3 linked regions of the Caenorhabditis elegans genome follow. The protein of the gene in region 3 purifies or fractionates together with the protein of the main gene of each other region. This does not show direct contact. Each region holds a gene or a part of one and is shown on either strand. Other genes may lie near its edges.

Region 1 (3,756 bases), on a different chromosome or scaffold from region 3:
GGAGATGTCTGCGCGTGTGGTCCTAATTTGGTAATCACTTCATAATCAAGAATTAATAGTCAACCGGAGTCCCGCTGTCCCGTTTTTGTAAATTTAAAATTTTTTATATATAATATAAATTTTACGGGACATTGACACCCTTGGTTCAGACCACCGCATTCTTAACATTAAAAATGAAATAGTTACCTATATGGTTTTCCGGTTCCATCAGCAACAAGGTAAACTCCAAACTCTCCCTTTGGAGCCTCAATTGGGACATAAGTTGCTCCTGGTGGCACTTGGAATCCTTCGGTGAAGAACTTGAAATGATGAATAAGAGACTCCATGTTCTCCTTCATCTCGGCTCTCTTTGGTGGCACAACCTTGTGATCGTCGACCTTGATTTCTCCGGCTGGCATCTTGTTGAGGCACTGATGCACAATGTTCAACGACTGTCTCATCTCCTCAATACGGCACAAGTATCTGTCGTAGCAATCACCCTTGGTTCCGATTGGAACATCAAATTCCATATCAGCATAGGCATCGTATGGTTCGGTCTTTCTCACGTCTTGCTTGATTCCAGATCCACGGACCATGACTCCACTGAATCCCCAGTTGAGAGCATCAGCAGCTGACACAAGTCCGATGTCAATAGTTCTGGCCTTCCAGATTCGGTTTTCGGTGAGCATGTCTTCGAGCTCATCGATACGTTCTGGGAACTTGATGGCCCAGTCGTAGATGTCATCCATAAGACCAATTGGAAGATCCCAAGCGACACCTCCGGGGCGGACGTAGTTGGCATGCATTCTGGCACCAGATACTCGCTCGGAAAACTCAAAGAGCTTTTCACGTTCTGAAAATCAATGTTGGTTTTGTACTTATTTTGAAACAATAAACTTACCCTCGAACATCCAGAAAAACGGTGTCATAGCTCCAACGTCAAGGGCGTGAGTGGTGATACCCATGATGTGGTTCTGGATGCGAGTGAGCTCTCCCATGAGAGTTCTGATATATTTGGCTCTTGTTGGGATGTCAATACCGAGAAGCTTCTCAACAGCCAAAGACCAAGCCTGCTCATTGCACATCATGGAGACGTAATCGAGACGATCGAAGTATGGGAGAGCCTGCAAAGAAAACAGTTGGAAAAATTGATTGAATATTCGATTTGAGTGACAGAAAAAATGATTTGAAACGGATTTCATAGCTTTTGAAAACTAAAATTAGGCTAAACAAAAAATTATTATTTAGACACAATATTTGTCATTTTCAGTTCTAAACTTGGACCGAGTTGAAGATTTTACAAATTTTCAATTTATCATTTTCAATATCGTTTTAGAAACATACCTGAGTGTAGGTCTTGTGCTCAATGAGCTTTTCAGTGGCACGATGAAGGAGTCCAATATGTGGGATGGCCTTGATGATGACTTCTCCTTCCAGTTTCAACACGAGACGCAACACTCCGTGAGCGGCTGGATGCTGTGGTCCGAAGTTGAGAATCATGTTTTCCAGATTCTTCTCTCTGAAAAAAAAAACAAATTATTTTAATTTTCAAGTACTCGGTAAAATTTCTACCTCTGTTTTCCGCTGTAGTTATCACTCATAACTGGATCGGAATAGGCCAACTTTTCAAGCTTGTCAAGTCCGATCTTCTCGTCGAAATCCGAAACCCGCTCCGACATCCACAGCTTTCCGAGGGTACCTCCGGTCTGAAATATTGAAAATTGAGATGTCACTCGTAACCAACAAAAAAAATCAACCTTAAATTGACGCTCAAATTTAGCATCTGGATACCAGATTGTGTGGGAGTTTCGGGTTTGGGTGGCAGGAGTAGAAGACGTCGCCGCGACCGATGGAACGTTCGCTCGGAGACAAGTTCCGGCGATCTTTCTACCCAACATTGTTTCCTATAAAAATATTCGGTGAATAGTGAGCAATAAAAGTTGTGAAGTTAAAGCAACAAAGAGAAACGGAAAAATCGATAAAATCGCTGCCAAATTGCACATTGAACACAGAAAGATTGAACTTCAAAAACCCACCAATTCGCAACTTGATTTTCACAATTTTTTTCATGGAAACTAACAGTCAGTCGTATTTTTTCTTACACGATAAAGATAATATTAAAATTATTAAGAAAAAAGAAAGTAAATTCGCAAAAACAGTGTCGAAAATAGGTACCGAACGAAAATAAGACGACTGCTCGGTATTTAGCGCGTGGTGGAGTGTCGTTGTTTTCCTCGCGTAGCCTCACCTCTCTATTGATTTAGAAGATGTCTTGTTGCTTGGACAGTCGTTCGGAATTGTCATGCTCGGTGTTATTATTTATTTTTGTTTTCTAAGAAACTTTTTTTAAATTGAAAATTGTTTTATAATATAACGTTAATTTGGATTATTTTGTAAAAATTTTTAATAAACTCATTTTTCAATTTTTGATCAAATTGTAAATTTAACCTAATATTTTCGGTACGTGTGTTCCAACATTTTAAAAGTAAATTAGTAATTGTTTTTTTTCTCCACTTATCTAAAACGTGAGTAGTATTATCATGATTAGGTTTGGAAAAGATCGTTTCAAAAAAAAAACAAAATGAAGATCACGTTTAAAAGTTAAGAAATTAAATTTTCAAAATGTGGAGTTATAATACACAAGTTTCATATTTTTTTACACTTATTACCGAAATGACATCATTGTTTTTTTAAAGTACAGATTTTCGAATATACTATTAACTTATTAATTAAACTGATGATATGAAATACAACTTAACGTTTTTTTCTTTTTTGGTTTCAATATCATTTTTCGTTGTGGTCAATTGATACTAATGATGACTTTTTTTTAAATTTAACATGACTCTCATTTCAATTTTCTATATTTTTTTTCAGAATGGCGGATAGTGCAGGGCGTGATGACGACGGAATGAATTCGGATAGCAGTCAGCCATCACAGAACATCGAAAAAGAAGAGGGTATACTAGATGAGGAGTCGTCATCGTCTGAATCAGGAACGGGTACAGATACCGATAAGGATGATCTGGAAGAGAATAATAATCCGCGACCGGTAAGAATATTTCCAATGACTTTCTCAAACATTTAACATCACAATACCTGATTTTCCAAAAACCTCAAAAATAATTACAGATGCTTCCAAAACAAATGGAATCTCGCTGCAAACACGTCAAAGACATCAATCCATCAGACCTCAGCCAGCTTCTACAGAAGAAGTTAAAATGCATGACTTGCCATGATTCAGTCAGTTTCTCATGTGCTCATCAAGATTGTATTAATAGTTTGAAGTCAAGCTGTTGCAAAAATTCCGACCACCTTCTTCCTCATATGGCGGTACGTTTGTTCGCAAATTGACATCAAGTTTTGCTTACTTTTTTGAATTTTGATATAATTGCATTTTTACATAATATCCGTTAAATAGTAATCTACATATATTTATATAATTTGACAGACACATGCGATGAACTTTTTTCTAAACAGAAAACTGTGCAGAAGAAAAATAGGAACATAATCATTTTTATAAGTTAAGCATCATGTTTTAAGCTTGGTAGCAATTAGGTGTAGGGTTAAAAAATTTTTAATCTATCCGAAAATTGAAAAAAAAACACCAAATTGTTGTTAATTGATAAGTTAATGCTTCGATAAGCACAGATCAATCAACCTCAGCGCTCTCAAAATTATTCCAATTTTTTAAGGTTCACAATCATCCTCCAATATTATATCACGATCGGAAATCAATTCTATGTACACGTTGCATGGTCTACACTCCTGTCAAGCGGT
Region 2 (3,756 bases), on a different chromosome or scaffold from region 3:
GGTATCTCTCTTGCAACCACTCACGATATTCCAGGAGGATGCATTAAATGCCCAGAGGGACCAGCTGGACCACCAGGGCCTGATGGAGACTCTGGACCAGAAGGATTCCCAGGACTTCAAGGGCAATCCGGACCATCCGGTGAAGATGGAGCCCCAGGACAGGAGGGAGCCCCAGGAGATCAAGGAGAACAAGGACCAAAGGGATACGATGGGACCGACGGACCAGACGGACAGCCAGGAACCACATACTTCCCAGGACAAGCTGGACAGCCAGGAGAGCCAGGATGGTTGGGAGAGCCAGGACTTCCAGGACAACATGGAGAGCCAGGAAAGGACGGAGAGGAGGGACCACAAGGAGCACCAGGAACTCCAGGAAACGCTGGTCACGACGCCTTCCCAGGAACCCCGGGACAAGCTGGAAAGCCAGGAGCTCCAGGTAAAATTTTTGTTGTTGTTACTAGGAATTTCTTGAACAAACAGTGATGAAACATTTTAAATTGTTTCAGGAAAAGATGCCAACTACTGCCCATGCCCACAAAGACAAGACGACAGAACCCCACCATCATCTGGAACATCCGCTCCACAGCCACCACCACGTGGATCCACTGCTGCTCCAGGAACTCGTGCTCCACCAGCAACTCGCGCTCCACCAGCAACTCGTGCTCCACCAGCAACCACCCGCGCTCCACCAGCAACAACTCGTCCAGCACCAGCTTCACAGCCACCAGTCAGAGAGCCAGAGACTCCAGATTCTGGATACCCATCCCCAGCTCCACAAGAGCCAGCTCATCCATCACCAAGCTACCCGTCTCCAAGCTATCCATCTCCAAGCTATCCATCCCCAAGCTACCCATCTCCGAGCTACCCATCCCCAAGCTATCCAGCTGAGCCAGCTTATTCCGTCCCACCACCAGCCAAGCCAGAGCAGCCATCAGGAGGATACGATGCTCCATCTCCACCACAAACTGGAAGCTACCAGAGACGTTGGTAGATGCGTGACACTTCTCATGACATTATTTATGACTTTGTTATCCAACTCCACTGAATAAATATTCGTTTTCAAGAACTCACCTTGTAAGCACTTGAAGATGGGGACGCAGCGTTTCCACTTCTGATTGGGGCGTGATTGTCTCCATAGAGAAGAAGGTCATCGTGAACAGCATTAGTGGCAAACAATACTCCGTTTCCTGTGACGAAGTGCTGCTCCTGAAATTTTAAAATTGAAAACTTGCAGATAAGAATAAGCAACTTACTGCAAATGAGGACAAAGTTGATGTGCAGATCGATCCAATTTTAGAGCATGGTGCATAGATTGAGTTTCCAAGTCCTCCATTTCTAAAAAAAAAAGTTTTGCTCAATGAATTCTCGAAAGCTTCTCAATGCCAAACCTGTAAGCGGCCTTGTGAATCTGGTCAACAACCAAGTCGTAAGCGGTTCTGTATCCGTTGTCAGCGCGCATAGTTGGCAGCACATCCTCGACTTCCCATGGCTTGAATCCTGGGTTACCAGCGACTTGTCCCAATACGGAAAGTCCGACGGAAGTGCTTTCGCGTGGAATTGTGAGGGAGACTCCGAAAAGATCGCGGGAGGTGAAGGATTTCTGAAACATCACCCTCGCTATGTCTGTGAGACTTTTTGGAATGCTCATGAAAATTTGATAATTTTGCTCCAAGTTAATTAGACCACATTTTTTCTGAAATTTTGATACAAAATACTTAATTCCAAATTTTTTTTCTAACAAATCTTTTCTAAAAAAAACTGTGAATGTATTATGCAATCTTTCTTCAAATTTACATTAAAATTCTTAGTTCTTTTCTAACGCCCAGTAGATTCAACTTTATCGATTTTTTTTTCTTGCTCACCAGAACTCCTCCGGTCTGTGACAACGTCCATACAACTGTGTTTCCAAAGTATTCCTGGGTATCTCTGCCGACGAAATTTCTGATGGTATGAGAGAGTCCGGCCTGGTTGGCTTTTTCGTAGCGACTTCCAGCTCTGAAGGCAAGAACCTAAAATTTGAAGATGATTTCGGATAGAAGAAACAAATTAAAAAAAAACCAAATGTGCAATTGGTTTGTGAGAGTCGATAGTTCCAACGGTCAATCCATTTCCAAGTTTGGCCACTTTTTCGACTGGTTTTGTCGTTGCTGCCTTATGGGCTCCGCGAACAGCTCCAATGTTGCGGCTAAGCATTCTGAAAAAACTAGATTTTCAAAGAAAAACTAGATAATTTTCAAAAATTGGGTAAAATTGAACAATACGGTTATAAAAAGTGCATAATTTATCAAATTTATTCATTTTTTGTTTAAATATTAAATGGAAAACTAAAAATAACTTCATTTTTCACAAAAATAGGTCCAAAAAATGAGAGACGCCTTTCCCGACTCATTGCTGACGCATCCCTTCTCGCTTGCGCGTTTCGTGCGCACATACGTCACTGGCCAAATGGCATGAAACGACGAGGACTATGAACACTTTATTACGGCAAAAATTAATAAACGAATAATTGAAATTTTTTTAGTTTTTACGAAGCATGTTTTGATAGAACATGTAAGACATGAATGGAACTGTTGTTTGACAAGCGGATTGACGGTTTTCCACGCGGTGGAATTAATTTGAGTTGTGGTTGCTGGCGGTCCTGAAAAAATATATTTGAAAACTAAAAAAATGATATAAATTTTGTGAGGTTTTTTTCGAGAGGAAAAGTTTGATTACAAATTTTTCAGTTTCAGCAAAAATTATGTTTTCCTATAATTTTTACAAAACTAACAAAATGTGCTTAAACCAAGTTAGGATATTTCTGAAGACATTAAAGGTGGTGTAGTCGAATTTTTTTATTGCTTTATTAGACTCAAAATTGTCTGGAAATGCCAAATTTCATAATGAAACTTCTTGAAAACTTCTTTTTAAAAAAAGTTATGACGGCTCACAAAATGGCCCAAAATTCGCTAGAATAACGGCGAGATTTTTAAATTATTTTAAACCAAATCTTGCCTTCCATCGACTTTAAAGTACCTAAATAAAGTTGAAAACACAAGATAATTACACGGTTTATTCAAAATTTGACGGTAATTTCAAAAAAAAATTGTTTCCAGCCGCTGCGACATAGGCAAGTCGGTCAAATTTCAAAATTTAACTAATTTTAGGTCACTTTTTCACGCGTCATAACTTTTTTTTGAGAAGTTTTCAAGAAGTTTCATTATGAAATTCGGTGTTTTCAGACAATTTCAAGTCTAATAAAGCATTAAAAATATTCGACTACACAACCTTTAATAGGATTCGGGAATCACCAAGTCTTGCCATCAAATTTGTACAATAAGAAATAAAGTTAATTTTTTTCAAATTCTAGTATAAATTAGGGAAAATTTATAGATTCACTTACATTCGACTTCACTTTCACAACAAATGCTCTTCTTCGTTTATCGGAACGTATTGGCCGAGTATAACGATAAAGTGATAGGAGGCGTTCCGAGGCTGAAGATGACTGCTCTAACATTAAAATTACTTGCGCCCACTGGAAAGTAAAATGGTGAAACTTGAAAATAAAATGTTGAAGTATAAAAAAATCACCTGACGCTTCCATTCTTTCTCAGTTTCGGCAATTTTCTCATAAGTACGAGTCATCATAGCAATTAGTAGATTCAGAAGCATAACAGTCACAATTAACTCGAAGAGGATGAAAAATACCTTAAAACGAGCTTGTAAGCCTGAAAAGAGCTTTTTTTGTAACCTTGGACTGTGGAGCAATGCTGCTTT
Region 3 (2,816 bases):
GAAATGATCTCTCATTGCACGAGTAGCTGCAGCGCGAATACGAAGAATTCTTGATGCATTCTCTCCACGGATGACAAGGTGGCGGTTATCAAGCATCACATCGACTCCAGCGCTTTCGTTGAGAACGTTGTCAATTCCTCCAGCTGGTGCTTTGCCAATAACCTCCCAATAGTCAACGGTAAGCTCGTGACCATCAGGAGCGGATTTTCCATCGGGAAGTGCCTTGATAATTCCATAAACTTGAACAGAAGTCTCTGTTGAGAGAGTAACAGCATCATAACTTTGACACTGGAAAACGAAACGATTATAGTTGATCTTTGAAACTATTTCATACCAACTTATCGTTCAAAACACATTGAAGGAATCCATAACCGTCTCTAAGAACAAGGAACATGAGTGACTTTCCTTGACGACGAAGACGATGTACCCAGGCTTTGATTGAGACTCGTTGATCGCGATGCTGCACAGATTCTCCAATCTTGATAACCTTAGCTTCTGGAAGAGACTTGTCAAGAGAAAATGTAATCTTCTTGGCTTCTTCGAGAGCAGCATGTTGAGCCTCTTCGGCTTCTTTCTCCCTACAACCAGCTTTCTCCAGCTTTTTCACTTCAGCTTCGTATTTTTTCACTGCCTTTTTGATAGCAGCTTTCGCTGCTGGTTCCCACGATTCCCCTTCCTCTGACTTTTTCTTCATCAAGAACTCGCCCGAGTTTTTCGAAATAAGCATAGCCTGAAAAGTTTGTTTTTAGCAACTATATTTTTGTGTGCTAACCTGAACCAAAGTAGCCAATGGCTGAGCTTCTGTTCCGGGATGCTGATCAGATCCAGCATCGGTATCGATGTAAAGCTTGGACATGTCGACTGTAAATTAAGATATTTATGAAACAGTATACGGAGTTCCTAAAAGTTATTTTAAAATGTAGCAGAACTGAGCACAGAAAGTTACATTTAACGAAACAGAGATGAATAAATGTTTACTCATTCATTTTGAAAGACACACTAATCTGTACATTATAAAAAAGTAAAGAATTGGGAAAATCTGACGAAAATTCCAACAAAAGTGAGATTGTGCAATCGCACGAAACTGTCGTCAAGTTCAGTGTTTGCGTACTCCCCTGTCTTAACTCTTACTTTAAATTTATGCCTCCCTAGCTGAAAATCAAATCAATTTTAGACAATCTTAGAATAAACATGTATCCTATTTAAAATTTGACGGGTCAAATTAATTTATTCGTTCACAAATCACTCAGAAAACGATGTGGAAGATTCATTACGGTGCACAATGGTAATTCGTGTTTTTGACGCAAGCATTTCATTTGACGCCAAGTTGCGGGCGTTGAGAAACATCTTTTTAATTGACGTCAAATTTGTTTGAAAACAGATGATTAACAACAATTTGTCTAGTTTAAGTATAAAACAATGTTTGTTCATGTTTTATAAAGAAGGAAATTGTTACGGTTTTTACAATTATTTCTTCGTTGCTCTTTTATATTGAATTCAAAGTTGTATCGATTAATCATAATCACTGTTTGGTTTAGTAATGAACCGGCTTCTTCAACAGTCGGTTTCACGCGGACCTCTTGCCGTCCGAGCTTCTTCTACAATTACAACAAAGCCACCAACTCCGAATCAAATTACCAAAAACAATGCACAATTCGACAAGGTGACTCACACCGGACAAGTAAGTGTTTCTTATATAACTTTTCAAATAAAATAAGCACATTTTCAGGCGTGGGATCAATCTGATTATCGTCTTCAAAGATTTGATATTTCGAAGAAAAGCGTCAATCCAAATGTAGCAATGCATCTTATTGATCAACGCCCTCCAGAGGATTGCGGGGATAAGAGAGTTGTCTTCTGTGATGGAGGACATCCAGCTCTTGGACATCCGAAAGTATACATCAACCTTGTTAGTTTTTTTTTAACTTTTAATGTCACACTTTAATTTTTTCAGGACAAACCAGGAGTTCATGCTTGCGGATATTGTGGAAACCGATTCTATAACTCGCACGCCACGAAGGCAGAGGACATGAAGATCCAACACCTCAACTGCTAATTTGTCTAGCCTCTTGGTTTTATTTTTTAGTATGTATACAAAACAAGTAGCGAATTTACAATCATTTTCATTTAAAATTTCCATAATGAATCGAAAGATAACAAAAAATTTGCTGTCGAGGAATATGTATTTAAATATAGCATACATACAATCGAAATAGGAGAAGAGAAATTAGAGATCACCGAAAAAATTTGGGAAATGTATTATTTGATAGGTATGGTGAAGAATGGGTGTTTGAGAGCCTCATTGCAGGTTGTTCGTTTGCTTGGATCAAGAATCAGCATTCCATCGAGCAAAGTTCGGAACGCTTGTATCTGTGAAAATAAAAATGTAGTCATTATCCAATCAGCCATATCGAGAAAATTAACCGAAGATGAGCACCGCTAATGACATTTTATTTTCGCTCTTATAAAATCTCCATTCCAGAAAATTAACAAAGTGGAGAGGAACATAGAGCGGGGGTGAACCAGGGACATTTGGGTGGTCGACAATAGTCTAACCAGCTGCACTATAAGGTACACTAACCTGATCCATTTGGTCTCTGCTCAAACGTTGCCCGGCAATCAATTCTGATTCCAAATCGCGTGTCGGTTTCAAATTTGCAAGAACAGTAATCTGAAAACATAAAAATGTAAATACTTTGAGTTTTCAAATATACAAACCTTGTTTCTTTCTGTAACTTTGTCAACTTCTTGATACAAAAGATTACAGTTTACATCAAAGTGAGTATCTTTGAATTGCGATTTTCGAACCAATTTGT

The links.
Region 1: the proteins of nduf-6 (region 3) and gas-1 fractionate together in Caenorhabditis elegans (co-fractionation; one large-scale study listed by BioGRID). This does not show direct contact.
Region 2: the proteins of nduf-6 (region 3) and ucr-2.2 fractionate together in Caenorhabditis elegans (co-fractionation; one large-scale study listed by BioGRID). This does not show direct contact.

What each region holds. Positions count from the first base shown.
Region 1 is NC_003284.9:15,588,515-15,592,270, forward strand, and holds the start of gas-1 (putative NADH dehydrogenase [ubiquinone] iron-sulfur protein 2, mitochondrial), read right to left. Parts: upstream 1,884-3,756; 5' UTR 1,878-1,883; coding exon 1,737-1,877; intron 1,686-1,736; coding exon 1,552-1,685; intron 1,499-1,551; coding exon 1,324-1,498; intron 1,104-1,323; coding exon 881-1,103; intron 833-880; coding exon 187-832; intron 1-186. Other genes in the region: usp-33 (Ubiquitin carboxyl-terminal hydrolase), read left to right, coding at 2,855-3,028, 3,109-3,309, 3,672-3,756.
Region 2 is NC_003284.9:15,172,342-15,176,097, reverse strand, and holds the start of ucr-2.2 (Peptidase M16 N-terminal domain-containing protein), read right to left. Parts: upstream 2,195-3,756; 5' UTR 2,194-2,194; coding exon 2,059-2,193; intron 2,010-2,058; coding exon 1,863-2,009; intron 1,601-1,862; coding exon 1,389-1,600; intron 1,336-1,388; coding exon 1,254-1,335; intron 1,207-1,253; coding exon 1,072-1,206; intron 1,067-1,071; exon of another isoform or gene 992-1,066; coding exon of another isoform or gene 507-991; intron 437-506; coding exon of another isoform or gene 1-436. Other genes in the region: col-41 (Nematode cuticle collagen N-terminal domain-containing protein), read left to right, coding at 1-436, 507-991; ocr-3 (Ion transport domain-containing protein), read right to left, coding at 2,525-2,638, 3,383-3,514, 3,571-3,687, 3,731-3,756.
Region 3 is NC_003279.8:7,089,202-7,092,017, forward strand, and holds nduf-6 (putative NADH dehydrogenase [ubiquinone] iron-sulfur protein 6, mitochondrial), read left to right. Parts: upstream 1-1,538; 5' UTR 1,539-1,540; coding exon 1,541-1,681; intron 1,682-1,729; coding exon 1,730-1,909; intron 1,910-1,954; coding exon 1,955-2,056; 3' UTR 2,057-2,160; downstream 2,161-2,816. Other genes in the region: nars-1 (Asparagine--tRNA ligase, cytoplasmic), read right to left, coding at 1-288, 335-730, 773-856; prpf-4 (Serine/threonine-protein kinase PRP4 homolog), read right to left, coding at 2,260-2,370, 2,582-2,671, 2,719-2,816. UniProt on the Caenorhabditis elegans protein: Accessory subunit of the mitochondrial membrane respiratory chain NADH dehydrogenase (Complex I), that is believed not to be involved in catalysis. Complex I functions in the transfer of electrons from NADH to the respiratory chain.